4 linked regions of the Pelodiscus sinensis genome follow. The protein of the gene in region 3 purifies or fractionates together with the protein of the main gene of each other region. This does not show direct contact. Links are inferred from orthologs where the notes say so. Each region holds a gene or a part of one and is shown on either strand. Other genes may lie near its edges. The genes, in order: MAFK, MAFG, BACH1 and MAFF.

Region 1 (7,914 bases), on a different chromosome or scaffold from region 3:
GAAACTCCAATTCTCAGCCAGTCTAGTAGGAGTGGGCCAGGAAACTGAACCTGTCTTTTCCACATCAGCACAGAACGTTATTGTTAACCCAGAACAACTCTTTTCTAAGCAAAAAGGTATTTTCTAGGGAGGATAAACGCCACTGAGATGCAAACTGACAGTGGTAGTTACCTGCTTTTCAGCATTTGCAGATCCTCAGTGTTCCACTCAACTGTGGACCCATACCGATTTTTATCCAGAATTTTCAAGGCCCTCTTTATTTTTCAAAGTCAGTCCCAGGGCACAGCTTTGCTAGAACCATTCAGAACTAGACACAATCTTAATTGCTTGTCCTATGGCACAAGCTCAGGAAAACCACCATTAAGATGTGGGTTCAGTGTCCCCCTCCTCCACTAGCTTTTGGCCTTAACAGTATAGAAAACATGCCAGTGTCTGTAGCAAGAACTTCTGGCCATTCGGATTCAAAATGCATGGCATCTTCTGTTAGTTACCGAGACCACAGCTTAACCAGGAGGATCTTTCAGTCTCATGGGTGACCATGTGGAGCAGGTGACTAAGCAACATGTGGGTTTCAACACCTCAGGAGATCATATGAAGATGTGTCCATTTGTCATGGACCACACAATCCAAAGAATTACAAAAAAAATCTAGGAAATTGCAATTCCCTTTAATACTGTAAGTAGTAGAGTTTGCAGCAGTATTTAAATTCTAGCAGTTGTCCTTTTTCAGGTATTTGCTGTGTGCAATCAACATGCATGCATAGATTCCTCTGCATGTCATTTGAATGGTTGGTGACAGGGATTGCAAGGAGAGGCAAAAGAAAATCACTGAGAGATGAACTATGCACGAATGTTAAATTAAGAGAGAGCACCACAGCTCAGATGTTACACCATCAGCACTATCAAAATGCTGAAGGATTTACCTGTAGAGTTGCTTTGCTGAATCATACAGCTTGTTAACACTACAGTGGATGCAGTGCTTCTAGCCCAAACATTAACTCCCTTCAGTTATCAGTCATAAGACATGCAGTGTAGCCATTCTATCATCACAGAGAGCTCTCATGAGGACAAAATAAAACCTCCCCCAACAAGGGGCAACAGCTGTATCAGAGGGAGAAGCTTTCCCACTAGTGTCCACAACTTTTGTCATCCACAAGGGTATTTTTTCCAAACTCAAGTGACAGAAGTTGTAACAACAAAACTACAAGCAGTCCCCAGGTTACATGGATCCGACTTACATCGGATCCCTACTTACAAACGGGGTGAGGCAACCCTGCACTAGCTGCTTCCCCCCAGCAGACCAGGGAGACGCGGAGCGGCTTTTCTCAGCAGACACCTCAGCTTGAGAATAAAGGACTGAGGGAAGTGAGGTGCGGGAGAATAAAACTGAGCTCTGGAGAAATGTTTGGCTAGAGTTTCCCCTACAATATGTACCAGTTCCGACTTACATACAAAGTCAACTTAAGAACAAACCTACAGTCCCTATCTTGTACGTAACCCGGGGATTGCCTGTACAGTATAGAAATAGCCTCAGTCCCAACCACCATCCCTCTCTTCTCTCCTTAATGCCCTGTCCTTCTCTCCACCTACCTAGCCTCCTGTCCCAACGCACTTTTTGCCAGGCACATACTCCTCAATTAAAACACCATTCCAGACTCTGCTATTCATCTTGCCTGAAACAAAATGGTCCCCAAATCCTCCCAATCTTTCCATTTACCTCTCCTCTCTTCCCTGCTCAGATTTCCTACTCCAGCACCCCATAGACATTCCCACCGGGAAAATACTAATCCTATATACTTCTGCGCTCTTCTCCCCATCCACATTCTTTTACTTGACCCTAAAATCCACAGTGCTCCTTGTACCCCCTCCACTGCCACCCAGCTTCACCTCTAGCCTTCTCTTCTGATCACCTACTCCTAAGACAGTGATTTTCAAACTATGGGGCGCAACCCAGTACTGGGTCATGGAACATCAGACACAGGTCTCCTTGCTACAGGGTGATCAATAGGGGTGCTAAGGCACCTACCTGCATGTCTTGACAACACAAACTGTAACGTACCCCAGAAGCCACCAGCAGCAGGTCCAGCTCCTACGTGAGTGGGGGAGGAGAGTGCACAGGGCTCCATGCGCTGCCCCTGCTCTGAGCACTAGCTCCGCACTTCCATTGGCTGGGAACCTGCTGCTGGATGTGTCTGGGGCGCAGCCGGGTCTGTGGTGCCATGAGTGGCAGGAAGCCTGTTTAGCACCGCTGCTGCTGCACCGCTTCAAGTAAGCCCCTCCTGCCCCACCCCCAAAACAAGCTCTCATCCTCAGCCCCACCCCGGGCCCCACACTCTTATGATGGGTCAGGAGTCTCAACAATTTTCATCAACTGGGTCATCAGGGGGGATAAAAGTGTGAAGATCCCTGCCCTCGGGATGTGGGGCAGCCCCCCCCAGCGCTTCTCCCCGTCAGCCCCCCAATTCCTGCCCGGAGCCAGGCGGGCGCCTGCCCCACGCCGCTCCCGCCCCCACTGGCCGCGGCTCCCCCCACCTGCGCCTCGCCCCGCCCGCCGGCGCCGAGCGCGTGGTGGGGCCCCCGGCTGGGGCAGCCACGTGTGTGAGCGGCCCCCTCCCCCGAGCGCGGGACCGGCCGCGGCATCAGCCCGGGTCTGGGACGGGGCGGACACCACGTGTCCCACACGATGGTGACTCAGCAAATTTCCCGGCCCGGGCTGCAAGGTGCCCCCCCGCCCCCACGCGGCAGCCCGGCCCTTCCCGGCCCGGGGGCTCCGCGCGGCCCCTGCCCAGTCGCCCCGGCTGCCGCACCCCGGGGGCGGCTGCGTCTTACCTGGGCCTGTCGGGAGCGCGCGGCGGGGGGAGGTGGCGGTAGCGGCGGGGCCGCGCGCGGCGCGAGGGAATGGTGGCGGGGACGCGCCTCTCAGCATCTCTCTGTGTGTGTGTGTGTGTGTGCGCGCGAGTCGCGGGAACAACAACAAGCTCGGCCCCCCCCCCTTCTCTCCTCCCGCCCGGGCGCCGACCAACCAGGGGCCGGGCCGCTTCCGGGATCGCGCGTCACGCCTCGCGTCACCTGGCCCCGCCCACTCTTCGTGGCGCGTCACCCCGCGCCACGCCCACCCTCTTCATTCATGGAGAGCGGACAGGGGGCGGGGCCAGCCCTGCTCCCGCCGGAGTGTGGGGCTTGCCCGCTGCTCCAGCTGGGCTCCTGACAGCGGAGTCCGGGAGCTGCCATCCCTGTGCCCAGACCCCGCTTCCCTGCCGGGAGCGCCGGGCGGAGGAGCAGCGCAAGTGCAGCGCGCACGCTGGCCGGGCGTGGTTCGCTCTCCCGTGGTTTGGCCCTTCGGCCACGGGAGGGAACGAGTCGGTGCCACAGCCTGAGCGCCAGCTGGTTTTTAGCTCAGGCTTGTGCCCCGAGCTTCAAAGCCCCCAGGATGGGTCGCGCCTGTCCGCGAGAGAGGGCAAAGTGTGTGTTTGTCTGGGGGCCCCTGGCCACAGCAAGGAGGCAGGTGTGGGAACTGTGGGGTGCTGCAGCACCCCCACATTGTGGGTTCCCAGCTACCACTGGCTCTGCTCCTGGGGCCCACCTGCCACCCAGGGCTCTGCCACCCTGTCCAGTTTCCTTGCTTCTGGAAACTTGGCCCTGCTTTAGGCTCCAGTGAGGTGGAGTGGGGGAGCAGTGGCTGGGCGCATCCTGCAGAAGGACCGGGGGATGGGGCTGGCCACCACAGCTGGCACTGTCCATGCCTTGCTGTCCCATCCCAGCTTCAGTGACCCGAGGCTTATGCAGCCACCAGTGGCCTAGGGCACCATTAAATTGCCCAAATTTAATGGTGCCCTATGCAGCTGTGTATTCTGCATATGCCTAAGGACAGCCCTAGTGTTAAGCCTCTGTAGACTATTTAGGAGCACTGTTAATTTCTGAAGTAATGGCTGATGGTCACATGTTGTAAAGTTGCTTTCATAATCTCTTCTTCCGCAATACTAATAAGTGAGTTACTTTCACTATGGATAAGGGGGTTGCCTTTAAATTATTCCCATCTGGGCTTTTCAGTGCCTTTTGTCATCTATAATAGTAATAGAGATGTTGCCGTGTTAGTCTAGTCTAGCTGAAACAAAAAACAGGACTATGTAGCACTTTAAAGACTAACAAGATGGTTTATTAGGTGATGAGCTTTCGTGGGCCAGACCCACTTCCTCAAATCAAATTGTGGAAGAAAATAGACATGACCATATACAGGGCTCGCCAAACGACGACGAGCCCCGCTCACCAGCCGCGTAGTTCGGCACGCTGCGCATGCGCAGACCGTGCTGCGTGGCTGTGTCAGCTTGTAATCTACTCGCCATGGGCTTCAAAGACATTTTAACACCAGACTTGAAAGGGAAACCTCTGAACTGTCATTCATGCTTAAATTTGACACTTAATAAAGACACTAATTATCTTACCCATTACAAAGATAGTTTCCCCAATTATCACCTCTAATATCATTAGCTCACATACATTTACCTCCCCCCCCCCCCATCCGCCCTCTGTTCTGAAATTTGATTTGTCCTTTTTATATGTGTTCACTTTTTTTGATTGTATCCCTTTGGTATATGTGGTCATGCCTATTTTCTTCCACAATTTGATCTGAGGAAGTGGGTCTGGCCCACGAAAGCTCATCACCTAATAAACCATCTTGTTAGTCTTTGAAGTGCTACATAGTCCTGTTTTTTGTTTTGTCTTCTATATGTGTGTCAGGTCCAGAAGGTACAGATTGTCTTTATTTTGGTATCGTGTACAGCACCAAGCACCTAGGCAAATAATAAATAATCTTTCACCTCTTCTAGAATTAAGCAATTTTTCTTCCTTGCTTTTTTTAATATGTTATTTCTGATATCTTGTGATGTAGTCTTTCTCCTTAATTTTGGCAATGGAGTAGAAAATGGCTTTCAGTTTCAATTTTTTCTCAGTCATATTGATTTCAAAGTGCTTCTTCCTTGAGTTTCAGTGTGACTTTTATGTAATACCAAAGTCCACAAGAGGAGAATACTAGTATCTAATTACCATAAAACACTATATTTGGGTTTGGAAGGGTTTTATTTTTTTATCAGTAATTGTTGGTAAACATCAATATAATCAAAATACAGACAAAAATCCATCAGTAATTGAAATGTACAGGTAAGCAAAGCAGGAAAAATGCTGCTTGAGAACTTTGAGTTAAGGATATTTGTTTGAAATGCCATTTTAATAATGTGCATTTTAACTGTTATAAAGCTTTACATCTTTAATGTTTTGAGTTTCAGTGCTCACTATCATTAAATAATTTTGATCCTGCTCAAACTTCCCACAATTAAGAAAATTTAAATTGATAAAATTTGAAAAAAGCATGAAACCCACACTTTTGTGTTCCTGTGAAAATTTAAGCTAACACAAATATTTTTAAATATAGATATCAGTTGAAATTATTTTTAAACTGAATTCTGCCAAGCCTGACTATGTATCAGGTTGGAATCTGATAAGAGAAAATGAGATCTCTACACAGTGCTTAGAAAACTTAAGCCCCATTCTCTTATGAGTAGGACCCTACCAAATTCACAGCCATGCAAAATGTGTAACAGATTGTGAAATCTGGACTTTTGTGTGCTTTTACCCTATACTGTACGGCTACGTCTAGACTGGCATGATTTTCCAGAAATGATTTTAACGGAAAAGTTTTCCGTTGAAAGCATTTTCAGAAAAGAGCATCTAGATAGGCACGGACGCTTTTCCGCAAAAGCACTTTTTGCGGAAAAGCGTCCATGACCAATCTAGACACACTTTTCCGCAAAAAAGCCCCGATCGCCATTTTCGCGATCGGGGCTTTTTTGCGGGAAACAAATCTGGGCTGTCTACACTGGCCCTTTTGCGCAAAAGTTTTGCACAAAAGAATTTTTGCCTGAATGGGAGCAGCATAATATTTCCGCAAAAAGCACTGATTTATTACAGTAGGAAGTCAGTGCTTTTGCGGAAATTCAAGCGGCCAGTGTAGACAGCTGCGAAGTTTTTCTGGAAAAGCGGCTGATTTTCTGGAAAAACTGGCCAGTCTAGACACAGCCTACAGGTTTCACAGGGGAGACCAGTGTTTCTCAAATGGGGGGGCGTGGTCCTGATCCAAAGGTGGGACAGATGGAGGGGAGGGCTTGCAGGGTTATTTTAGAAGGATCAGGGTTTTGCCACCCTTAATTCTGCACTGCCTTCAGAGCTGGGCAGCTGCAGAGTGGTGGTTGTAATATTAGCCATGTACCCAGCTCTGAAGGCAACAACCTGCCAACAGCAGTGCGGAAGTAAGGATGAGAATAGTTCTGACCAGAGAGTGGTAGCTGTTAAGGGCCCAGCTCTGTGGTAGCTCTGCCTTCAGTGCTGGATTCCTGACCAGCAGCCATTGCTCTCCAGCTGCCCATCTCTGAAGGCAGTGTTGCTGCCAGCAGCTGTGCCGAAGTAAGGGTAGTAATAACCTTGCAACCGCCACACAATTCCTTTTTGGGTTCCTTTAATCAGTTTAATGTTTAACCACTTAACCAATTAAACAGGATTTTACATCCCTAGCCCTGAGTCTCCCCTCAATCCCCCACCCTGACTCCCATACCCCAGCCTCTTGCCCTACCCTCCCTACAACTCCAAGGCTCTTCCCTGAGTCCCCCCACACTGCCAGCCCCCTGCCCTGAAGAACCCAAGCAATGCCGGGTAAGTCTTCTACTAGTATATCATAAATGTCAGGTTCTTTTGATTTGCTTCTGCTTTTTGAGCCTTCAGGATTCCTGTGAAGATTTGCTCTATAACCATGAGGGCTAGAAACAGCTTTCATTTTAAAAAACCAAGAGTCGCATGTAGTCAGTGACTTAGGGAGCTAGAGCTTTAAAGCTGCAGCTCAGTAAAATCCTGAGATGTGGCAACACCATCTCACGGAACCTAATATCAACAATATGCTCAACCTACATAACCCCAATAGTAATACATTAATTATTTTTAGGCTATGCAGATGAAATACTGTGGACTGTTAACTAGAACATATGAAAGGCTGAGTGTCTTAAAACCAGCCTTTCACTCTCTCTGCACTTGGCCTTGTAGCTATGCCTTTGAAACGATGTCTGCTAAGCCAGTGATGTTAATCCTTTTCAAACTGTGGGCCAAACATTATTTAAAAAAAGATCAAGGGGCTGCTGTCAATAGTTTAAGCCAGATGCTTTGCCTTGTGCCACTCCTTTCGTGCTACTCAAGCAGTGCAAAGGGGCAGAAGCCACCTGCAAGTTCCCTGTGGGAGAGTCCTCTGGAATAAAGGGAGTCTCTGGCGGGTGCTGAATCAGCATATCCAGCTCTTCCAACTGTGCCCCACAACCTATTTTAGGGGATACATTGAGAGCAGGACAGGGAATTGATTGGACCGCACAATGCTCTGGCTATTCCCACTGTTAGCTAGTTCCTTTGGAACCCATATTTGGATAGTACGAGTTATAGCATTCCTAGACTGCTCTAACCTTTTCTGAGGCAGAAAATCAGGGAGCTGGTTCTCAGCGTCTTCTCTTTCCCACTGCTGGGTATTCAATGACTGTACAAATCACATACCTTTTGAATTAGGCTGGCTAAAGCTTCAGGGCTGCTAAAATAAAGCTACTGCCTAACACAGATGCAGTGCTGTTTGCAGTCAAACCTCACAAATTTACAACCCTTCTTTATAAAACTACAATATGGACCCTGACCCAAGAGCCTGGAGGATGCCTAAAGAGCACATCTGCAGCTCAAGATAAGGACTCAAAGACAATTTGTTAGTCATCTTTGTGCTTCCCCATCATGGGGGTATTGATCATTGGGTGGCTCTCCCAACACAGCATGGCCACTCTAGATTTTGTTGACTTCCAGCAGCCCCTGAGGGCATTCTGACTGGTAGGGAACACTGGCT
Region 2 (7,851 bases), on a different chromosome or scaffold from region 3:
CTCTCAGCTCAGAGCCCCATACCATTGCAGTGGAATTACTGGCTAGCAGACTGTGGGACACCGCAGGTTCGTTGGCTCTAGCAGAGTCCTCCTGCAGCGTACATCTTCACAGCCAAAGGAATCCTACAGGCAGCTCTTCACACACACCTACCCCAGCCAGGGGAGCTGGGAGAGCCAGCAGGAGCCTGCACCTTTGCTGACCACCCAGATAAGAGGGAGAGCACATGCTGCAAAGACTAACATTCTAGTAAATTCCCAACACGTAGGATAACTTGGGGCAGAGGCCATACATGTAATAAAACCATCCACCAGAATAACAGACCATGCTTATCTGGACCCTTCCTGTCCCTCCCTCTCCCTCCCCTTCCCCCGCTCCCTCAAACTCTGAGCATGTTTAGGTCAGGAAACAGGCCTTCTGCAGGGCTTGGAAGTGCCTGGTGCATTTTAGGGGCTACTGCACTCAAAGCAACAAACATGAGGGTTCACCCCGATACTGGAAAGCGTGACCTAGCATTCTGAACACAGGACTGGGAAGCAAAACACCCAAATCCTCCTCTTGGCTCTGCACTTACTGTGTGGCTTTGGGGGTGTTTCCACTTCTGCAGTGCGAGGTTGCTTGCCTGGTAGCTGGGAGCTTAATTCATTAACGTTTTGTACTAACTGACATTATGAATAAATGTCTTGCTACTACTATACGGTTCGGTTTGATAGGTAGGAGCTTTAGAAAAGTTGTGTGTGGGCTGGGAAACTTAACACAATGGCTGACATTGTGTCAACTCTGTTTCTATGGCAATGTGTTTTTAAAGATCACGCAAATGGAGTTAGGACTTGTCTACACTTACAGTCAGGCGCAGGAGAACACACCACAGTGGGCTACTTATTCCACAGCTGGTCATTGAAGGATTTCTCACACTTTCCTCTAAAGCAACTGGTTCTGGTTGCTGTCAAAGACTGGACTAGACAGACCACTGGCCTGAGCCAGTCTGGCCATTCCTGAATTCCTATAGGCACTGCACATACACCTAGAAGTAGGCAAGTATCTGCCATGTGCTTTTAAAGCCTTTGGCAAGACGTCCTGGAGAATCACAAAACATCCTTCAAATTACTCTGTAGCAATTATTGGCTGTTATTGTAAAACTCAGATGCACCCTTGACAGAGCTGGTCAAGGGCCTTTAGTAAAGCAAAGGCACCCCTGACCCTGGGCATAGCTACCAGAGGTGTCAGGCCTGACCCCACTTGTTTTGTTCTTCTGCCTTGTGGCCTCAGCATTCAGCCTTAGCAGAAATCTTGCTCAGGGAGAGATGGTGCACTTGTTGCACACAGAGTTTTTGGCTATTACCCAAGGCTCCCTGGTGTCCCACAATGGTGGGGTTAGTTGATTTCTGGGCACTTTGAGTAGATCTGTAGCACAGCTTTCCCCGTTATGCTTACATTAAGGGCATGCTAGCCCCCTCAGACCAGCCCTTGAAAGAGTTGTATTTAGGGGTATGAGGAGCATATGTAGCTCTGGGGCCCTGCGGGTGACTAGGGGAAGACTACTGCCCTAGCAGCTGAATCACCTGGAACACTAGTGAGGCAGGAGAGGAGCACAGGGTGTTCCAAGTACACACAAGCATGGGAGAGGTACCCAGAGCAGCCTGCTGGTCTCACAGCAGGAGCCCAGCCCCAGGGCTGGTTCTGACCTGGAAGTGTGCTCAGAATCCGCACTATGCCCCCCCAGCACAGCCGCCCGTCTCTACGCCCCTCACCCCCCAAACCTACGGTCTGTAACTCCCCCATTCGCCCTGCTGCCCGCAGCCCCTCCCGGCAGCGCCGCACACGAGGGGAGACCTGTCTCCATGACACCGCCCCCCTCGGCGATGAGTCAGCGTGTCAGCCTCGGACGCCCTCCCCATCCATTTGCAGACACGGACCGACCAACACGCCGGCCCCTGGTCCACGAGTCCCTCCCTCCCTCCCGCCGAGCGCCCCCTTGGCACCGTCTACCCGGTGACCTCATGCTGATGAGTCAGCAGCGTCTGCTCAGCAAGCACAAGGGGCGCGGGGCGGGGGGCGCGGGGCAGGCACCGGCAGCTCGGAACCCCCCGCCCGGCGCGACCCGCAGCGGCCCCCGACCTGCCTGCGCATCGCGCGGGGCAACAGCAGCGAGCAGGCATCACGCGTCCGCCCCAGCGAGCCGGGAAGGGGGGGCTCGCCGCTTGCTCCCCCCCGGAAGGGGGGCTCCCTACTCTCCCCCCCCCCAGTTTTCCACGGAAGGGGGCGCCCCGCTCTCTTCCCCACCGCGGTCTCCTCCTTCCCCCCCCACGTTCCCGAGGGGGCTCCCGGCGCTCTCCCCCGCCCCCCGGAAAGGCGGGGGGTCCCTGCCCCCCCCAGGCCCGGGGCAGAGCGGGGGTCCCCGGAAAGGCGGGGGGGTCCCTGCCCCCCCCAGGCCCGGGGCAGAGCGGGGGCCCCCGGAAAGGCGGGGGGGTCCCTGCCCCCCCCAGGCCCGGGGCAGAGCGGGGGTCCCCGGAAAGGCGGGGGGGTCCCTGCCCCCCCCAGGCCCGGGGCAGAGCGGGGGCCCCCGGAAAGGCGGGGGGGCCTCTGCCCCCCCCCAAGGCCCGGGGCAGAGCGGGGGCCCCCGGAAAGGCGGGGGGGTCCCTGCCCCCCCAAGGCCCGGGGCAGAGCGGGGGCCCCCGGAAAGGCGGGGGGGTCCCTGCCCCCCCCAAGGCCCGGGGCAGAGCGGGGGCCCCCGGAAAGGCGGGGGGGTCCCTGCCCCCCCCAAGGCCCGGGGCAGAGCGGGGGCCCCCGGAAAGGCGGGGGGGGGTCCCTGCCCCCCCCATGGCCCGGGCCCCGCCGCGCGCTCACCCGCCTCACGGTGCGGCCGGGGCCGGGGCTGGGAGGGACCGAGACTCCGAGATCCGCCGCCACCCGCCGCCGCTCACGGACACGTCACGTGATGTTTGGGTCACGTGGCTCCATTCATGAAGCGCCCGGCGCAACCGCCCCGAGCCTTAAAGGGAAGGAGGCTGCGGCCATTAGTGTCGGGGTAAAAAAAAGACAAGGGGCAGGCGGGGCCTTAAAGGGAAGGGGGCGGGGCGGGGCTCGGCTCGCCTGGCCACGTGCTGCGGGCAGCGTGCGCGGGAGCAGCTGAGCCGGGCCGCCCCACGTGGCGCATAAGGGGGCACGCGGCTCGAGGCAGCTGGGCGGGGTCGCTGCGTGTCCGGGCCGGGGGCGGGGCCCGGCTTAGGTGGGAGCCGGGAGGCGGGGCCTGCGCTGCCCCCCAGCTCAGAGCTGCAGCGGGGGGGGCAGCACACACAGCCCAGGGGGCCCGGCCTTGCTAGCTGCAGTTACACCGTGACGGGGGACTCAGTCACACACCCCCCCCCACCGGGAGCTGGTGGAATCTCCCTCTCTGGAGATATTTCAGAACAGGTTAGTGGCCTCTCGAGGTCCCTTCCAGGCCTATGATTCTATGATCCAATTAGCATCATTAGCTTGGGTCCTGCGCTTGACAGGTGGGTTCTGCTTACAGTAATTCCTCATTAAACACTAAACACTGTTTCTGAAAATGTTCATGCTGAGCAAAAATGTGCTATGGAGTCAATTTTCCCATTAAAAAGAATGGAAAAGGTGGGGGTTGCATTTCAGGTGGTGGTGGCAAAGTCAATTTTTTGTTGGTGCTGGGTCGGCAACGTCAGCACTAGGTATCTAGCACCACAAGTCGCCTGGTTTGTTAAAACACAAAGATAAACACGAGTGAGCGGAGAAGCACTGTGATCACGTGTATTCATCTGCTCAAGCATATTACCAGGGCTACAAATAATGTAATCTACTCACCCATGGCGAGTAGATTACAACCCGGAAGAGCCAGTGCAGAGTGATCTGCGCATGCGCAGAGTGCAGAACCACACGGCTGGCGAGCCCTGCATATTACCACTGTTTTCACCAACTTATATTGCTGCGTGAAGTAGTCTGCTACTTGATTATTTTTGTGTTATTTCGGGGACGGTCATGTTATTTGAAAAAAGGTCCCCAAAAAAATCGTGCTATTGCGAAAACGAGTTAAGCGGGCACATGTTAAACAAGTAATTACTGTATTCTGGATTCTGCTATTTCCACTCCAACTCACCAGATGAAGTGGGTTTTGTCCCACCCAGCTTGTGGTCTGATACATTTGTTAGTCTCTAAGGCAGGGCCGGATTAAGGGGGGGAGCTAGCTGGGCAGCTGCCCAGGGCACTAACCTATGGGGGGCACCACACACCCAGGGCCAGAGGCCGTGCCCCTTAAAGCTGCCATCAGGCTCCGCGAGCCCAATTGCTGCTGTAAGGTGCGCAGCGTGCCGGGGGGCAGGGCTGTGCATGTGCCATGTGCCCGGGGATGGAGCTGCACATGCATCGTACGCCTGCTGCCCAGGGCACAGGAATGGCTCGAGCCGGCCCTGCTCTAAGGTGCCACAGGACTGCACTTGTTGACAAAGAACACTGCATTGCACACGTGCAGAAGTCGGAAGAAGAAATCTTGACTGAAGTTGCAGGAGAGACACCAAGCTAGAAGGAAAGATCTGCATTGTACACTTAGTGACATGATAGCCAGACCTAGAGAATGTAGAAGAGCCCCCTGTGCTGCAGCAAAAAAGGTGGCAAGTGTATTGTGCAATGTGCAAAGTGAAAGGAAAAGTGCATGTTCTGCGTGTTTGTCTTCGCCTGGGTCTGATAGAGCTGAAGGAGAAGAAGATAGAGCTGGCAGGAAATACTGTCCTAAGGAGAATGGCAGGCAAGCAGAATGTAGACAGAGGCACATGGAAGAAACCCCAAAGATGAACTAAGGCTGAAGAGTGTATGTTCAAGGTGGACAGGTAATAAGAATGGTCAGCGAAGAAACCAGGCGAGCGTGGGCCAGCAGCCGGGCTATGGACAGTGACCAGTGCCAGGTGCGTGAGGGGGGTGAGCAGAGTAATCCTTGCCTGTCATGCACTTCCAGCTTTTGGCAGCAGAGGTTAGGGACACCTGAAACATAGGCTTGTATCCCTGGCTACCGTTGTTAATAGCCACCCATGGACCTCGCCCACATTCTCCTGGTTTCTAATGTATCTGTGAACTTACCTAATTCCTTTTGAAAGACTGTTATTATTTTGCCATTTGCAACATTCCCAGCAACAAGTTCCACAAGTTGTCTTGCGTTAAATACTTTTTGTTGTGTGATCCTTGTTTCTTGTGTTTTGTGAAGGAGCAAATAAGCACTTTAGTTATGTTCTCCACACCTGTCATGATTTTATACATTATCATGTCCCTTCCAGTCATCTCTTTTCCCACCCGATTAGTCCCAGTCTTATTAATTGCTTCTCATATGGAAGCTATTCCAAAGCCCGAATAAATTGTGTTGCCCTTTTCTGAACCTTTGCCAGTTCTATTGTATCTAATGCACATCTGTATGGTGCACCATGGATTTATTTAGAGACCATGTGATTATAGAATCCTAGGGCTGGAAGAGACCTCAGGAGGCCATCGAGTCCAGCCCCCTGCCCAAAGCAGGACCAACCCAACTAAATCAGCCCAGCCAGGACTTTGTCAAGTCGGGACTTAAAACAGTTACGGATGGAGATTCTACCCCCTCCCTAGGGAACCCATTCCAGTGCTTCACTCTCCTCCCAGGGAAATAGTTTTTCCTACTATACAACATAAGAACATAAGACCGGCCGTACTGGGTCAGACCAAAGGTCCATCTAGCCCAGTATCCTGTCTACCGACAGTGGCCAACACCAGGTGCCCCAGAGAGGGTGGACCGAAGACAATGATCAAGCGATTTGTCTCCTGCCATCCCTCTCCAGCCTCTGACAAACAGAGGCCAAGGACATCATTTTATCCCCTGGCTAATAGCCTTTTATGGACCTAACCTCCATGAATTTATCCAGCTTCTCTTTAAACTCTATTATAGTCCTAGCCTTCACAGCCTCCTCTGGCAAGGAGTTCCACAGGTTGACAACACGCTGTGTGAAGAAGAACCTAGATCTCCCCCACTGTAACTTGAGACCATTGCTCCTTGTTCTTGTATACAAAAGATATTTTGTATCTTATTATATTTCCCTTTTGTAATATTTCCTAATATTGTGTTGGCTTTCTTTTGACCACTGTTGTACACTGAGAAGATGTTTTTTCCGAGAACTATCCACAATGACTTCAAGATCTCTTTCTTGAATGGCTCCAGTTAATTTAGACTGTCATATTGTACGTATTCTCTTTGGGATTATATTTTCCAATGTGCATTACTTCGTACTTATCAACAATTAATGTCCTCTGCTATCTGGTTGCCCAATCATCCAGTACAGTGAAACTCCTTTGTAAGACTTCCCAGTCAGCTTTGAACTGAACTATCTCAAGAAGTTTTTGTCTTAACTGCATATTTTGCCAGATCACTATTTATCTTTTTTTGCAGATAATTTATGAATATGTTGACTAAGATTGGGCCCCATCCTGGGAGACACCACTAGTTTCTCCATTCTGAAAACTGACCATTGTTCTCTACCTTGTAACCAGTTACTGATCCATAAGCATGTTCCCTCTTATCCCATGACTGCTTAGTTTCCTTAAGAGCCTTTGATGTGGGACCATGTCAAAGGCTTTCTGAAAGTCTAGGTATACATGCAGTCCCCGAGTTACGCGGATCCGACTTATGTTTTTCTCGCCCTGGAGGATGGAAGTGGCGGGATGCCCAGATGCGCCACGGTCCCGCCGCCCGCGTCCTCCAGGGCGAGAAAAGCTGCTCCACGTCTCCCTGGTCTGCTGGTGGCTGTCCCGCTGCCAGCGTCCTCCAAGGCTTTACTCCCCGTCTCCCTGGTCTGCTGGTCTCCAGCAGACCAGGGAGACACGGAGCAAAGCCACGGAGGACCCGGACGGCGGGACCACGGTGCATCTCGGTCCGCTGCCCGCGTCTTCCTGGTCTGCTGGGGGGTGGGCGCAGCTAGTGCACCCCCCACCCCCAGCAGACCAGGCTTTTCTCCAGACGCCTGTGGTAGAGCAGCTGGGGCGCTGCTGGTTGGTCCCGCAGTGCTGCTCTAGGCACTACTGGACCAACCCAGCAGCACCCCAGTTGCTCTGCCCCAGGCATCCTGATTCCCCAGCAGCGGCTGAATCAGGACGCCTGGGGCAGAGCAGCTGGGACACTGCCGGTTGGTCCCGCAGTGCTGCTCTGGGCGCTACTGGACCAACCCGGCAGCACCCCAGCTGCTCTGCCCCAGGTGTCCCCAAGTCAGCCGCTGCTGAAACTGACCAGCGCTGACTACAGGAAGCCAGAGGCAGAGTTGCTCTGCCCTGGGCTTCCTGGAATCAGCCGCTGATCAGTTTCAGCAGCAGCTGACTTGGGGACTCCTGGGGTTCTTAAGTTGAATCTGTATGTAAGTCGGAACTGGCGTCCAGATTCAGTCTGTTGAAACTGATCAGCGGCTGATTCCAGGAAGCCCGGGGCAGAGCAACTCTGCCTCGGGCTTCCTGTAGTCAGCCGCTGGTCAGTTTCAGCAGCGGCTGAATCTGGACGCCAGTTCCAACTTACATACAGATTCAACTTAAGAACAAACCTACAGTCCCTATCTTGTACGTAACCCGGGGACTGCCTGTACTTCATCCACTGGATCTGCCTTGTCTACATATTTGTTGAACCCCTCCTAGAGTTCTAATAGATTGGTGAGGTCTGATTTCCTTTTAGAAAAGTTGTATTGACTCTTCCTCATCATAGCATGTTCATCTATGTGTCTGATAATTCTGGAGGTTTTGTTTTTCTTTAAATTTCAGCAATCCAACTGGTACTGATATTAGGTTTACCAGCCTGTGATTGCAAAGCCTATTGGAGCAGGCTTTTTAAACAATGGGTGTCCCAT
Region 3 (7,627 bases):
TACTGGGCTGTCTACACTGGCCCTTTTCCGGAACAGTGTTCCGGAATAAGGACTTATGCCCGAGTGGGAGCAGAATAGTTTTTCCGGAATAGCGGCTGATTTTGTACAGTAGAGCATCATTGCTTTTCCGGAAATTCAAGGGCCAGTGTAGACAGCTCGCAGCTTATTCCGGAAAAGCGGCTGATTTTTCGGAATAAGTGGCCCAGTGTAGACACAGCCATTGGGTAATTGAGTAGTGACTTGACTAGTCACTCCTCCACCGCTGCCTCTGTCAGAGAGGCACAGCAAGTGTGTGGGGGATGAGGGGAGGGGATCAGGAGCCAGTGATGGGGGGGAACTGGCTTAAAAGCCATCTCGATGGGGCAGGGGAGGCAGAGGCATAGTGGGAGACTGGGTGCAAAGCAGGAATCAGTTGATTCCCGGCTTACTCCTGGTCCCCCCTGCTGAGCATCTGCCTTTTAAATGCGTTAAGAGCCTGGCAGTTCTTAATACATCTAAAAGGCAGAGCCATAGCGGAGTTTCCCCCCTTATCGACTAATTGAGTAGTAAATGGAAATTCCATTGACTACTCGATTAGCTGACTACCCACAATTTAACATCCCTAATTCAAAGTATAACAAAATTAATGAGTCTTGGTTCTAATTCTTAACAATGGAGACCTGAGGTTATATGCTTCATTACATACGTGCCATTGTACATTTAATAAATGTCATTTTTAATTTTTCACTCAGGTTCAAGAAGCAAGATACCATGGCCATCATTTTAGGTGGTGAACAAGGGTAAAAGCTTTTAATCTGAAAACAGACTTGAAGTAATGAGGAACTTTAATGACCCAGACATCTGTCTGAACAGCATGCCAGAAACCAAATTGTTCAATAAGTTCTTGGACCGTACTGTGGACCACTCTGTTTTAGAAAGTAGAGACAGTAACCAGGGGGACAGCCATTTAAGAGTTTGTGCTGAGTAGAGAAGAATTGACTGTAAGTTTTAAGGTGGTAGACAATCTGGGTGAAAATCATCATGAAATAATAGTTTTCTTGAGTATAAGGAAAGGTGGAAGTCAGAGCAGAGGAATAAGGGCAATTGACTTAGTACACTTTTACAAATTCAGAGAACTGTTATGTAAAGTACGTTGGAAAGAAAATCTAACAGATAAAGCAAGTTCAGGAGACCGGACAGTTTCTCAAGGAGACAACAGTAAAGACACAACTACAAATTATCCCAATTTAAAGAAACATAGGAATAGGAAGAGGTCAATATAACTATTAGGAGCCCTTTAAAATAAAAAAAAAATTCTACAAAATGCGGGAACATGGACAAATTGCTAAGCAGGGGTGCAAAAGAATAGCACAAGCACATAGAGTTACAAAATTTACAGAACAAAATGAATTACACCTACCAAGAAACATAAGTTCTTTAATTATATTAGAAGCAAGAGAGAGTGAGAGAAAAATATGTCTTTTACTTTTCAGGGAAGGAGCGCTAATAACTGTGGACATAAAGGCTGAAGTTTTCACTAAGAAGATTAATGATGATCAGATATTTAACACAATTAATATGAACAAAGGGGGAGGGGAAAGGAAGCCAAAATAAGGAAAGAACAGGTTAAAGAATATGTACGTAAGCTAGATGTACTGAAGTTAATATGGTACTGAAATTCATCCTAGAGTAGTTAAGGAACTAGCTGAACCATTAATTATCTTGGAGAATTCTTGGAGGACAGGTGAGGTTCCAGAGACCAGCAGAAGGATAAACTTATACCAATCATTAAAAAGGGGAACAAGAAGATCCTGGGAGCACTCACCTCACTTCAATATCTGGGACGATATAGGAGCAATTAAAATTAAACAATTTGAAAGCAACCAAATGATAACAGCATTATAAGTTACACCCCGCAGAAAGCGCTTTCACTAAGACATGTGGCACAGTCCCATATAACGTTTTATAAGCAAACTAGGGAAACACAATGTAAATTTAATTATTATAAAAGGGGTGCACTAGTTGAAAGACAATCACACGATTAGTTGATAAAGGGAGCCACTCTGCAGAGCCACAGTGGGGATAGTTCCCAGCTCACACCTGCTCCAGAAATGCTCAGTCCCAGCTTGCACCAAGTCTAGCAGCCCCTCTTCGTGGCAGCCTGAGTTGGCCGCAGGCAGGGGCTGCTGCTGGAACGGCCTCTGCCCATGGCCAGCCCAGACCCCTGTGGACAGGGCCTGCCCTGAAACAGTCTCAGCTTGCTGCAAGCAGATAGAGATAGGCTGATAGAGGCGGGGAAAGCAGCACTACAGAGACAGTGCTGAAGGGAAACCAGCTTTTAAGCGGACTTCCCCCCAGCACCAGCTCCTATTCTCCCCCTTGCTGCCTCTCATAAAGAAGCAGCAGTGGGGGAAGGGGGAGAGGAGAAGGAGGAGGGAGAGAGGGAGTAGTCAGGTACTCAGCTACTCGCTTACATCCCTATTTGGTATTATTATGAATGACTCAGATAACATTAATAGGAAACCCACTTTTAAAAGTTGATGATGACACCAAACTAGGAGAGATTGCACATACTTTGGAAGATAGGATTGGAATTCAAAGTAATCTTGATAAAATGGAAAGTCAGTCTAAACAGATTAAATTCAATAAAGACAAGTGCAAATTATTTCACTCATGATGGAAAAAAAATGCTCAACTGCAAGATACAGAATAACTAGTAGAGATGCTGAACGGAATATAGGAATAATAGTGGAACACAAATTGAGCCCACAGTATGTTGCAGTTGTGAAAAAAAGCATTCTGGGATGTATTAACGGAAGTGTTGTGTATTTAAGCCAAGGAATGTTACTGTCCAATTGTAACAGTGTGATTCACCAGCACAGTGCCTCCTGTTGGACACTCTGGGAATTAGGTTTTTAGCTCTGGAGCACTTCCTTTCAGCAGGTGTCATTCTTCCTATGAGCTCTGCCACTCTGTTAGGACTCACACTCTTCCAAGACTATGGTACCCTTTCCCCTTGGTACTCTCCTGCTGCAGTGCCTCCACACTCTGTGGTCTTCCCTTTCTAGGAACCCTTAACTCCCTATGTCCCCCCCCTTGCCTCAGAGACTCACTGCCAATCTCCATCTAGCCCCTGCCAGAGGGATAGACTGCAGTCTGAAATGACCACTCATCATAGGCAAGAGAGTGTGGACCTACTACCTTTGCCTACCCTGGCTGCCCCCCTGCAGAGGTAGTACTTGCCTAGGAGAGCTTCCCCAGCACTGCTCTAAGTTAGGAAGCCTCTAGCTTCCCTGGTAGCTAGGTCCCTTCTGCTCTACAGCTGGAGCAAGAGTGAATCCAAACCTCTCCTTTCCCTCCAGGAGCCTTTATTTATTTATACTTCCTTGAGATGGGCCCTAATTGGCTAATTCCTGCCAAAAGCTGCTGGCTCCACAGATCCACTGCTCCAGCCCTCTCCCAGGCTGGGTTTTAACCCTTAAAGGGCCAGTGTGGGGGCAAATGCCCCATCACACCCACTCTACTTGACACTGGTGAGGCCTCAGTTGGAGTTCTGTGATTAATTCTGGGTGCCACACAATGAAAAATGTAGACAAATTGGAGAGTTCGTAGGAGTCCAACAAAAATGAGGTTTAGAAAAACCTAACCTACGAGGAAGGATTAAAAGAACTTGGCATGTATTCTAGAAGAAGACTGAGGAAGGACCTCATAATAATTTTCAAATACAGCAAGAGCAATTATAAAGAGGACATTGATCAACTGTTCTCCCTGTTCACTAAAGGCAGGCTTAATCTGCAAGAGAGATTTAGGCTAGACAGCAGAAAAAAAATTCAAATCATAAGGGTGGTAAGCTCCGAAAGAGGCTTCCAAAAGAGGTTGTGGAAGTCTCATCACTGGAGAGTTTTAAGAACAGGTTAGACAAACACCTGTCAGGAACAGTCTAAGTTTATTCGGTCCTGTTTTGATACAGGGTGCTGAAGTTGATGAGCACTCATGGTCCTGTCCAGCCCTATGTTTCTGTAATTTCAACACATTTTTATTTCCTCAAAACTGCTGCAAGGTTTGGAGTTATTTGTTCCACTGTGGCAGAAAACCAAATTTCAAAAGTTTCCTTGCAATGGCATCGTTGCCTTCCTTAGCTCGAGTGCTTGGGGCTGGAGTCGCTCTGCTTCCTCTAAAGCTCGGGAATCCAGCCCACAACACTGACCAGCTAACATTGTGCAATGAGCATCTTCACAGGCTTCCCAACACAGCTACCTCACGTGAGAAAAGGGGCAAGCCTGGGAAACCCTAGCCAGGTAACAAGCCCCTGCGGATGGTTGGGAGTCTACATGCGGGTGAGCAGGGGCTGTGCACAGGCGGCCATGAGGCCTTGCATGGGGCCTTGGCTTTAGCGTGCGGTGCTAAACCCCGGATTCACACAGCGCGCGCCACCATGCCCCGGAGCGAGGAGCAGAACGTTCCAAAGCCCAACGGCCACGCTCGCGCCCCCCGGGGGCCACGCTAACAGCTCCGCGGCGGAAAGAAAGCGACGGCGCTGAGCCTGACGCGCACGCGCGCTGTAGTCAACGTTGGCGTCAGAGCGTCGACCGGGCCGGCAGCGTCCAATCAGCGGGCAGGAAGTGAGGGGTCGGGGCAGGGGGAGGAGGACTGTTGTTACGGGTCAGCTGATTCCTTCCCGTCGCCGCAGTTCGGGGCAGCTGAGCCCTGCCTGGGCCTGGGGAGGACGCGCCTGTCCCGCTGGCGGAAGGTGAAGCGGGGAGCGCAGCTGTTGGCGCCGCGGGGCTCTTCTGTGGCCGGTTCGGGGTCAGAACCCGCCTGGGGCTGTGGGACCCGCGCCGCCGCTGGAGGGGAGCTCGGCGAGCGGGGCCGTGTCTGCTCCCTTCCCCCGGCACCTGGGCCGAGGTGGGCAGCTGTCCGGGCGCCACGGGCCCTGAGCGCTGGCTCTGCCCTGGCTGCCCCCGCGCCGTTCCTGGTGAGCCGGGCGAAAGGAGCAGGGCTGCCCTCGGACCCGCGTTGGGACAGGTACGTAGCAGCTGCCGCCTCCGCGCCCGCGTGGCTTTGCGTTGGCAGGTTTTTCCATGAAGTCCGGCGCTCTCCGGAACCGGGCACTTCACTATTCATCGTTTCCCTGCTGCGTGTCCGCCGGCCAGTGTGCTTAGGGCTCACCCCACGCCTCCCCCGCCCCGGAAAATCGCCCTCCTCCTTTCAGACAAAGGAGCCCCTCAGTCTTACTAATTTGGTTTTAATGGTTTGGTTTGGATGAATCTCCTAATTGTGAGCATTACGGCGTCTCTCATCAATTGTAGAAGTCCAGCCGATTTCAATTTAGACTTTTCCGGGAAGATGTGCTTTTAGTCTGTACTGTGAGAAGCCTCGCATGTGACGGGCATTGGAAAATCAAATTGAAAATGACAATTACGGAGAGGTTGTCACCAATTTAATAGTTAAACTAGCAGTGAGAGGACCTGAATTGGCATTTTTAACACCATAATACTGCAGTAATTTCAAATTCATACAGACCTGCATCTTGCTAAGTGCTAATTATTTTTAATCAGTTGTGAGCAGTTATACAGTTCCAAAACATTACAGGATAAAAGACAAAATAGTTTGACACACCGTGTAGATCTCTGGGTGAAAAGAGAAAGCATGGCAGTATTGTTATACATAGCTACAACCCAAGGGAGCATGCCTAAAAACTATGGCTCCACAGTTAAAGAGTATGTCTATGAAAATCCAGGGAATGGTACAGTCCTCAGGGCCCCAGCAGGAACATCTACAGTGTTGTTTTTAGCCCTGCAAGGTGAGCCACAGAGCCCAAGTCATTGACCTGAGTGTTGCAACTTAGCACTATGGGTTTCTTTCCGTCATACATATACTCTGCAACCAATTCTGCTCCCCTGAAGGCTGAAGTACTGTAGTTGTCTGTTCTTTAAACTCAGAATCACATGACATAGCTGAAAATAAATATGAGTTTGAACTAAGTGTGCTGAGAGAATGTGGACATATATTTTCATGCTTTTGTGGGTTTGTCAATCTGTAAGTAATTGTACTGAATTAATTGAGACTACTCATGTGCATGAGTATCTGCAAGATTGAGGGCCTAATTTATGAATGGTTTGATGCTAAACAATTTCAAGTGTTTCATAATGGGAATTTTTAGGCACTGTTAACTTTTTTTATGCTAAAATCATCTGAAATTGTTTATGGCTGTTGATGTCAGCATGTGTTGTTATTGCCCTTCTCATTTGCTGTTGTTGGAATCACCCGGGGGGGGGGGGGGGGGGGGAGATCCTGCTTTCACATTTTATTACCCTAATATGACCATCACCATTGTGTGTAGTGTGAATGCAGTTTTTCATACATGATTTATAGGAGCAAGTCTCGAGTGCTCTTTTTTCAAAATTAGTGAAATTATAATCTGGAGAAAAATAGATCAAGTAGGCATAATTCTTCTTTCATGTTAAATATGTTCAGAAAATGTATGCACATATGAATCCCCTACACACATCTGAGCACCCTGCACCAACTTTTCCAAGTGTTTGGTATGGCCAGACCTCTTAGTTCTTTTTTCAGATTATTTTTTGTTAAATTCTGTAGCTGTTGTGAGGATACGTCTACACAGCAGTGTTATTTCAGAATGACTGACATTATTCTGAAATAACATAGTGCACATCTACATTACAAGCCTCTATTTCGAAATACTGTTAAGCTGGAGGACTTCTTACTCCAATTCATGGTAACCGTCATTTCATGAGGAGTAAGGGAGGTCAAAGGAAGAGTGTTTATTCTTTTGACTTCCTACAGTGTAGACAGCACCAAAAGCTGAATTAAGCTGTTTTGACTTAAGCTATGCAGTTAACATAGCTGAAGTTACATAGCTTAATTTGACTTTAGCCCTACTGTGTAAATGCACCCTGATTATGGAAAGAATCTCTTTTTTTGGTTCTTTATTTGCTGCCTAGTTACTTGCAGGTATTGACCACACATGATTCCCTTCACTCAGGTGCAGTGATGCTTTTAACTTGAGTTGATTGGCCCTAGAGGGGAGGGTAGCCCAGGGTTTATTTACAAAGTTGCTTTATTGCTCTGTAACTTTCTTGCTCAGGGGTGTAAAAAACATTCTTCTCTCCTCTCTCTTCCCGCCAGCTAGCAAGTTACAGTGCTGTCAAGTGCAGTGTAAACACACTCACAGTACTGTTAGCTACTCCCTTTGTGGCAGTGGTTTTATCTAGAGCCCATTGGTGCTGCATTTAAAACTTCAATGGTGACAACTTGTTGGCTGAATATGAGTTAGCATACCCCTTTTCCTGGGGAGTGCACAGCCAAAACTTGTCAGCTATTAGTTTTCATCCACTCTATTGAATGTGTTAGTGCTGATAGTCCTCCAGTACCTTCCTTATTTACTACCCTGCTCCCAGATATTACCAACGAGGAAGAATTCATAGTGCCCTGTTTACTGAAACAATAAAGCCATGCGATGTACCTCCAGAAAAACTAGTGCCACATAAATGAGTGCACTGCCTGTGTGGCTATAACTGTAATATTGTTTTACATGACCAATCGCTGGAGCAAGGCCAAAGCCTCATTTTTTCTAGAATAAGGCTTGTTCTTAACTTGCATTATGTAACACGAGAGTGTTATTAAT
Region 4 (7,457 bases), about 89 Mb from region 3:
GCTGGTGAGCAGAGCTCGCTGCCACTTGGTGAGCCCTGCCTAGAACCATTGATGGCCCTAACCTCCTTCAATTTATCTAACTCTTTTTTGAACCCTGTTAAAAGTCCTGGCCTTCACAACAACCTCTGGCAAGGAGTTCCACAGGTTGACCGTGCGCTGTGTGAAGAAATATGTCCATTTGTTTGTTTGAAACCTGCTACCTATTAAGGGAAAGAAGGAAACACAGGAAGCATATGCACAAGATAAACAACGGGTCTTTTATCTCCACCCATCCAATGAAAAGATACAGGAAGTGAACCATACGCAAAAAGAGGAACAGAGAACCCGATAAACACTAAACACACATACACACCAAAGAGGAAAGCAAGCACCAAGCTGCAGCTCTTCTGTTCCTTTATTACGAGCTGACTTCCCTCTAGTCTCTGTCATTCCAGGAAGGCGCGTGGCGGTTTCGCTGTCCCCCAGACCTCCAGGGGCCTGGCTGCAATTGGAAACCTTGTGTCCAGGCCCTGCACAGCAGCTGAGCCATCCTTCCTGCTGAGGCTGGAAATTCCCTCCTAGCAGGGCCCCAGGCCCCCGCCTCTGCCCCAGCCAGAGCAAGGGCAGCACTTTGTTCCTGAGCCCCTGGCAGGGAGGGGACCCAAGCAGGCGCTGTGGCGCAGTGTCATTGGCAGGGGTGGGGAGCTGCCCACCTGGCAACGGGGGGGGGGGGGAGGCTGAGCCCAGCTCGTTGCCTAGCAGCGCTGCGCACCCTCCCCAGCTGGGTTGAGGGGAACGCGCCCCCGCCGGCTCAGCCAATGGGCCTCGAACCCAGACTTCCCACGTGCCAGAGCTCGTGGGGCTGCCACCCACCTCGAGCCCCCACAATCCTTAGCGGGCGGCTCAAACCCGTGCCCCTCCTCCCAGACTCGCTCCAGCTCCTGAGTCACTCACCTTCCGCTCACGGCTGCCAGCCGTCCCCACAAAGGACGGCGTCGTCACATGACCCCACTCTTCGCCAACCACAGCGCGCGTTCCTTCACTCTCCCGCCTCGCGCCGCTCCCTGGCCAATCACAGGTGCCGTCCCATGTGGGCGAGGGAGTGGGCCTGTGCGGGGGCCCGGATGATTTTTCCTTTTGAACGCCCAGTCGGAGTAGTGTAGTTCCGGCGGCGGCCATGTTTGAGCGAGGGCGGAAGTAAGGGCAAAGGACGGCGGTAGCATGACAGCCATCTTTGTGAGGGGCAAAAGACCCGCCCGCATTAAAGAGACAGTGACCTGAAAACGTTCCCCCATTTCTACGAAGCCGGAGCCTGGATTCTCCCGTTCAGTAGATTCTGCGCGAGGCAGTCTCTGTGGCGAGGGGCCAAGAGCCATTGCACGGCTCTGCAGAGCGCCCCAGCCCTGCAGCCAGGCTCCTGCTTGGGGCGAGGCGGGAAAGGGCCATTAACTCTGCCTGGGAAGTTTTGCAAATCTGCTCTTCTTCCCCTCCACACAGGTTCCCTGCGGGGTAAAACACGTGTCAGGAAATGTTTCCACCCTAAAACCCCCAGAACATGAAAACCAAACCGGATCTTTCCACTGCATGTCAACCACAGTGGAAGTCCTGAGCCCAACGCCCCTACCCACCCAAAAAGGCTTTAAAATAGTGAGGACCTGGCGGAGGATGTCAGGGCCCAAAAGATCACAGCCCATACAACTTCACGCAATTACCCCTGTGCTGAGCCTAGGAAGAGGTGTTGGACTACTGTATATCTTCCAGACAGGCATCCAGTCTTGATATGGAGATGACAAGAGATGAAGAGCTCTAGCCATTGTGTAACAACATGATGCTCTGGCCGAAAGTAAATAAGATGCTATTATGCTGCCAACTCTCATGATTTTGTCACAAGTCTCATGATAGATAATGCTTTCCTTAATGTCTGAAGATCATGAGTCAAGTGAATGTGTGATGATTTCAGCCTCCATTCTTAAATAAATAGTAAATTTATAGCCTTCAAAACTATGGAGAAAGCTTCAAAAAGTGCTCCCAGTGTCCCTTAAACTTTAGGTCCTAAAGGCTCAAAAAGCAGAAGGAAAATAAAAAGAACACAAAATCTATTATTTTACATAATCTTATTATTTTAAAGCCACTCTCAAGGCTTTTTGATGAGCCTGTCTCATGATTATTGAACATTTGGAGTGGGCAAAACTGGGCCCATGAAATACAGAACTATCCTAAAATGATTGGAAGGATGGCAAATTTAGTCCCTCTTTTTTTCTCAAGGACTGGCACCTGCATAAATGCAAATGCTATGCCCTGTGGCACAGAAATCACTAGCTATGTAACAGGGATGTCAAATCCCATTCAACCAATTAAAGGGGCTGGTCCCGTGAGGAAGTGTCCTACCCACTGGGGTCAGGCTAGAGCAGCCCTCACTGCAGGCAGGGACTGCTCCAGCCCAGCTGCTCCCGGCTCGCCACAGGGGCTGCCGCTGCAGCTCTCAACCCTCCCACGGGGGCTACCGCTGTGGCTCCTGGCAGTCCTGTGCGAGGGGCCTGGCAGGACTGGGCCACGAGTGGATGGATGCTCCCAGATACCATTAAGAGTGATGCTCACTAGATAACCATTTAACTGTGTACCCATTAACATCCCTACTAAGTAACTCATATGACTGAGTTTCTCGAAGAGATGATAGGAGGCGCTAACTTTTTTTTTTTTAAATCCCACTATATTACAGTGCAGTACTGGTCTAACACTTCAGTAACATCAATGCCATTACTGCAGGTTAATTTTATAAAGGAGAGTAAAACTAAACTATGATGTTCTGATGGCTGACACTAGCCAGGAATCACCCCCGTTACAGTTCCTTTCTTTCTGTATTCCTCCATGCAGAACTAAATGCTGTGCTAAAATGTTTATCTCCTCCCAATTACAAGACCCTAAATAATGCAAGGAGATTCCTTCATTTTTCTCTGACCTTGAAGGCAGCAGGCCAGATACTGGAAAATTGCAACTGCTCGGTGCATTCAGGAGAGTTGTGTGACCAGATAATCTTAGTATCCTATGATTGGTACTCTAAATGATAAAGGTACATCGTATGTTACAGACAGTAAAAAAACTCCTTTTTATAGATAATCTTAGACATGTCATTCCTATATGATGCGTCTCACCACACACAACATATTGATATAACCATTCCATAAGAGGACAGGTGAAACCTTCCACTATTTAAAAATACTTACTTCAAAAAAAAACCAACCCGCCACTGCTTCCTCTTTCTCCCCATTTTTACATATACAGTACTTATCCAACATTTTAAAAGAAACTATGTAAAATCCATTCCTAATCATGAGTGCTTTGAAGTCCTCAGAGCAGTGCTGTCCTCATCCATACATATGTGGAATATGCAGTTGTGTAGGGCACCTTAAAATTTGGGGCACCACTGGGTCTTAATGTCCTCCCATCCACCTCTTCTCATCCCCATTCTGTGGCTCTGCTTTCTCCAGAGACCATCTAGTTAACTTAAAAGTAAAAAAGCCTGCCAGACTTATTAGCAGAATATTGAACCTGGGAAAGAGCCATTCAAGTGGTAATGAAGCCATTTAACAGGCATTTGCCAACTGGAGGTATGTACTATCAGTTTCTGAATTTACTGTGTTAAGTCTACAAGGACTTTCGTTTAAAATTTGCTTTAAAATATTTAATTAGTGTGTTGCTGAAGACTATAAAATCACATCTCTAAAATATTGCCCCCCACCAGCTGCCATCAGGTATAGAAGTACCAGTTTAACAGTACTGCATAGGGCCCCATACGTACTAAGGAGGGCCCTGCTTCAGATGCAAGGCATTATTAAGAACACAAAAATAATACTCTCCACTGCTACAATGCCTTCTACCCAAGGAAATCAATGCACTTTGCAGAGAGAGTTAATTTAGCCTTACAAGAAGTCTGGGTGACAAGGGAATGGTCGATATCCCCAGGTCACCAAGGGGAAACATGCGATACTAAATGATTTTCCTAAGTGAGACAAGGTGAGTGAGGTAATGCTCTTAAGTTTTGCCTTTTTTGTTGTGGACTTTCCATTTTGGATGATAGATTTTGATATCTTCCGTTGTTGGATGCAGTGCAGTTGTAGCTCTGTTGATCCCGGGATATTAGAGACAAAGCCGGGGAGGTAATATTGCCCAGGTGACAAACTCAGGACTACAACCTACACCCTCCATTTCCCAGTGCCGTGCAAAACAATAAAATCATCTCTCACTATAAAAGTACACAACATTACTAATTATAAAGGGCAGCAGTCAGAATGGTTATTACTATGTACAAGGAGAACAAACATGCATGGTGGCCCTTTAAGATTGATGCCCAGCACCAAGATGGCAGCTTCCTCTTGTTTCGAATGCCTGTGCTGTGCCCTTCCCTAAGATGGAGAAAGAGGGAGGGGAAACAATGATGTCATCGCATGACTGTGTTTTTATGAATGAAAAGAATCCTGTGAGTGAGTAATTCCAGGAAACTCATATTACAACTCAGCAGATCTCAGCCCAGAGTCCAGCTCCTCTCCAAACAACAACTTCAAACAAGGAGACTAAACCGAAACCATTAGGGAAAAGGATCTCTAAAGGGATAAAGAAGGGAGAAGAGCAACAACAAAGACTCAAAGCAATGAACACAGCACAGTAAGTGAGAAGTCTCTGTTCAGCTGTCTCCCACCCCTCCTTAGGAGAGATGTTTACAGACTTCAGAGAGCTCGGGGTGGTGTGTTTATGTCGCTGGCTGTGTATGTGTGTGTTTCACCAGTGTGAGCTTTTTGTTTTTCTTGTGCCCTCCCTAACCAGAGAAGGATAAAACGCCTGAATGATACAGCTCTGTGGTGCTTTTATTTTAGGACTGCGTGTGTCCAGCTAGAAGGAGGGTTGATGTCAGCTGAAATGAAGATGGGCGAGAGTGTGTCTGGCAAAAGACATGGTTGTCTGGACTTAAGTTCTGGACATAAGGGGTGTATCTTCAGAGAAGCATGTGGGGAGAAGAGCAATGCAGAGGATCAAAGTGTTCAAAAGCACAGAGTGTCTCCGTGAGTGTGCATTCATGTCTGTTTTTCACACACCCATTGCTGAGCTTAGACAGCTGTGCGGGCAGGAAATCTCTCAATAACAGAGAAGTTACTCATGGTGCAAATTAACGATGCGTGGGGCATGTATATATGTGAGTGAAAGAGAGGTACAGCTGAGGCCCTGATCCATTGAGACTCCTCCAGCACATTTAATAATCCTAGAGATGTTAGACCAATCCTGAGAAAATCTAGGATTACCCTCTGCCTCGGATTTTTCAGGATGGTCCCTTTTTAAGATAGTTGTCCTGGGAAATATGTAAGGGTGCTTAGTACACACTGCGTGCTGCTTAGTTTTATAGGCTCAGGATCATCCCAGATACCCAATTTTTGGTACCTCAAAGGTGGCAATCATAGCCAAATCCCATCCAGGGTAAACTACAAAGACTCCATCTTGTGTTCTCTGCTTCATCTTGAGCTCCCATTAGCTTCAGTGGTAGTATTAGCTATGTGACAGTTGCAAAATTGAGCCCCTAAATTCCTTTTGAGGTTTTGGTTGGATAAATATTCTTTTTTCTTTACTTTCTGTCCTTAATTTTTGTGTAGTACTTCTGTGCACTGTTGAGCAGCTGCTGTGTTTCAGCCCAGAAGTGATTGCATTTTAGTGGCAGGCAAAGTGATCCCTATGTAAACTGCATAGCTTGGGAATGAATTTACAAAGTACTTAGTTCTAGGGAAAAATGTGCTAAATACAGTGATAAATATTTGCCAGCAGATGCCATGGAAATATCAGACTTATTTCTTATTCTGAGGGCATGGGGGAAGGTGTGACACTGGTATACATACCAACATATGAGGATTTGTGGGCAAATGTTGAATTTTTAATGACTACCACTGAGTATTAAGTATCGGTCATATTTGTGAAAATATGTTTACTGTTTCTTTAAATCTGTAGCCGAAAGCCAGGCAGGAAGGGCAGGGGAAAGTTGGAGACAGAAGTTCTATAGGAAACTAGAGAAAATAGCTTAGGGTTAATACTTTCTTCATGTTCAGTGTTTAGAATTAAGCGACTCATTATCACATGACAACTATTATATCAGATCCCACACAAATTTTCAGAGGTAAGGTTGCTAGGCTGTGACTCCTGCTAAAGCAAGCCATAAAAAGAAAGGAAAGCAACAGTTGTGGAGACAGTCAGTGTCCTCCCACTAATGCAACACTCATCTGTTCCTCTTCTGACCCTCAGATAATCCTTTTACCACCCCTAGGTCATACACTAGTATCTCCACCAAAGTTCCCTGTAAAATGAGTGATTGGCTGGACACCCAGGAGAGATTCAGGTGCTGCTCTGCTGATTTACCAGAGCACCCACAGTTGGCAGCATGTGTTTCTATTGGTAGTGCACATCTGCACATGCCTCAGTTCATATACCAAAATTTAATCTGCACATGGATGGAAAAAATTAGAGGGAACATTGATTCCATCTTCCTTCAGTGCTTGGGATGCTGCTTAGCACCCAACATTGCTGGGATCTGCCTCTGCTGATTATCCCTCTGCCCAAACACTGAGGATATGTCTACATTAGGCAGCTTTTAGGCAGGAGAGTGTTCCCATTTGCACTTGCCATGGCAAAAATTTTGTTGTGTGTGGTAGGGATGTAAGAGACTAATCAACTATCCAATAAACAGAAGTTTATCAGATAGTTGACTAGTGATATAACTAGTTACTTCACCCGTCCCCTTGTTGCCTCAGTCAGAGAGAGACAGCGGCAGGGGGAACAGGAGCCAGTGCTGGGGGGCTGGCTTAAAAACCAGTTTCCCCCAGCACCAAGTCTGCGGGGGACAGGGGAGATAGAGGAACAGTGGAAACAGCGCAAGCGGGGACTGAAGTTGTCTCTGCTTGCACCACTTCTTCTGTGATTCTGCTTTTGAAATGCACAAGAGCCCCAGCAGGGCTCTTGTCCATTTCAAAAGCAGAAGCCCTGGGGGATTCCCTGCTGATCCCCTTCCCTGGGGGGGGAGGGGGGATTCCTTTTGAAATGTACAAGAGCCCCACCCAGACTCTTGGACATTTCAAAGGCTGAGGCACCCACCGGCAGGGCTCTTGCTACGGTTCAAAGGCGGAGATGCCCCTATAGACTTACTGAATAATTGATGGAAATCCCATCGACTATTCAATTAGTGAATTAATCTAAATTTAACATCCCTAGTGTGTGTGTGGGCAGGGGGGTGGGGGAGGGAGAAGGGGCATTGTATCAGCTGTGAACAACAAAAGCTTTGTTGATCAAATGCAAGTGTAGACATAGTCTGGTTGAAGATTTCTCCAGGCAGATGCCTCTCTTCAGGGAGAGCTACTCCCCACCCTTCAAAACCTGGTGCAGAGTGAGAGGAAAAGGTCCAGTTTTCCTTTCCTTGGACTGCCGAATGATAATCCCAATGGGAGTTA

Evidence for each region.
Region 1: the proteins of BACH1 (region 3) and MAFK purify together in Homo sapiens (affinity purification with mass spectrometry; 6 studies listed by BioGRID and IntAct, counting the BioPlex papers as one, with this or other methods). This does not show direct contact. The link is inferred for Pelodiscus sinensis from reciprocal best matches to the Homo sapiens genes BACH1 and MAFK.
Region 2: the proteins of BACH1 (region 3) and MAFG purify together in Homo sapiens (affinity purification with mass spectrometry; 5 studies listed by BioGRID and IntAct, counting the BioPlex papers as one, with this or other methods). This does not show direct contact. The link is inferred for Pelodiscus sinensis from reciprocal best matches to the Homo sapiens genes BACH1 and MAFG.
Region 4: the proteins of BACH1 (region 3) and MAFF purify together in Homo sapiens (affinity purification with mass spectrometry; 3 studies listed by BioGRID and IntAct, counting the BioPlex papers as one, with this or other methods). This does not show direct contact. The link is inferred for Pelodiscus sinensis from reciprocal best matches to the Homo sapiens genes BACH1 and MAFF.

What each region holds. Positions count from the first base shown.
Region 1 is NC_134726.1:27,391,236-27,399,149, reverse strand, and holds the start of MAFK (transcription factor MafK), read right to left. Parts: upstream 3,014-7,914; 5' UTR 2,926-3,013; coding exon 2,829-2,925; intron 2,554-2,828; exon of another isoform or gene 2,532-2,553; intron 2,268-2,531; exon of another isoform or gene 2,150-2,267; intron 1,761-2,149; exon of another isoform or gene 1-1,760. UniProt on the Homo sapiens protein: Since they lack a putative transactivation domain, the small Mafs behave as transcriptional repressors when they dimerize among themselves.
Region 2 is NC_134730.1:29,834,663-29,842,513, forward strand, and holds the start of MAFG (transcription factor MafG), read right to left. Parts: upstream 3,013-7,851; 5' UTR 2,846-3,012; intron 1-2,845. UniProt on the Homo sapiens protein: Since they lack a putative transactivation domain, the small Mafs behave as transcriptional repressors when they dimerize among themselves.
Region 3 is NC_134711.1:181,342,084-181,349,710, forward strand, and holds the start of BACH1 (transcription regulator protein BACH1), read left to right. Parts: upstream 1-4,613; 5' UTR 4,614-5,004; intron 5,005-7,627. UniProt on the Homo sapiens protein: Transcriptional regulator that acts as a repressor or activator, depending on the context. Binds to NF-E2 DNA binding sites. Plays important roles in coordinating transcription activation and repression by MAFK.
Region 4 is NC_134711.1:91,967,568-91,975,024, reverse strand, and holds the start of MAFF (transcription factor MafF), read left to right. Parts: upstream 1-4,441; 5' UTR 4,442-4,627; coding exon 4,628-4,641; intron 4,642-4,850; coding exon 4,851-5,036; intron 5,037-7,457. UniProt on the Homo sapiens protein: Since they lack a putative transactivation domain, the small Mafs behave as transcriptional repressors when they dimerize among themselves.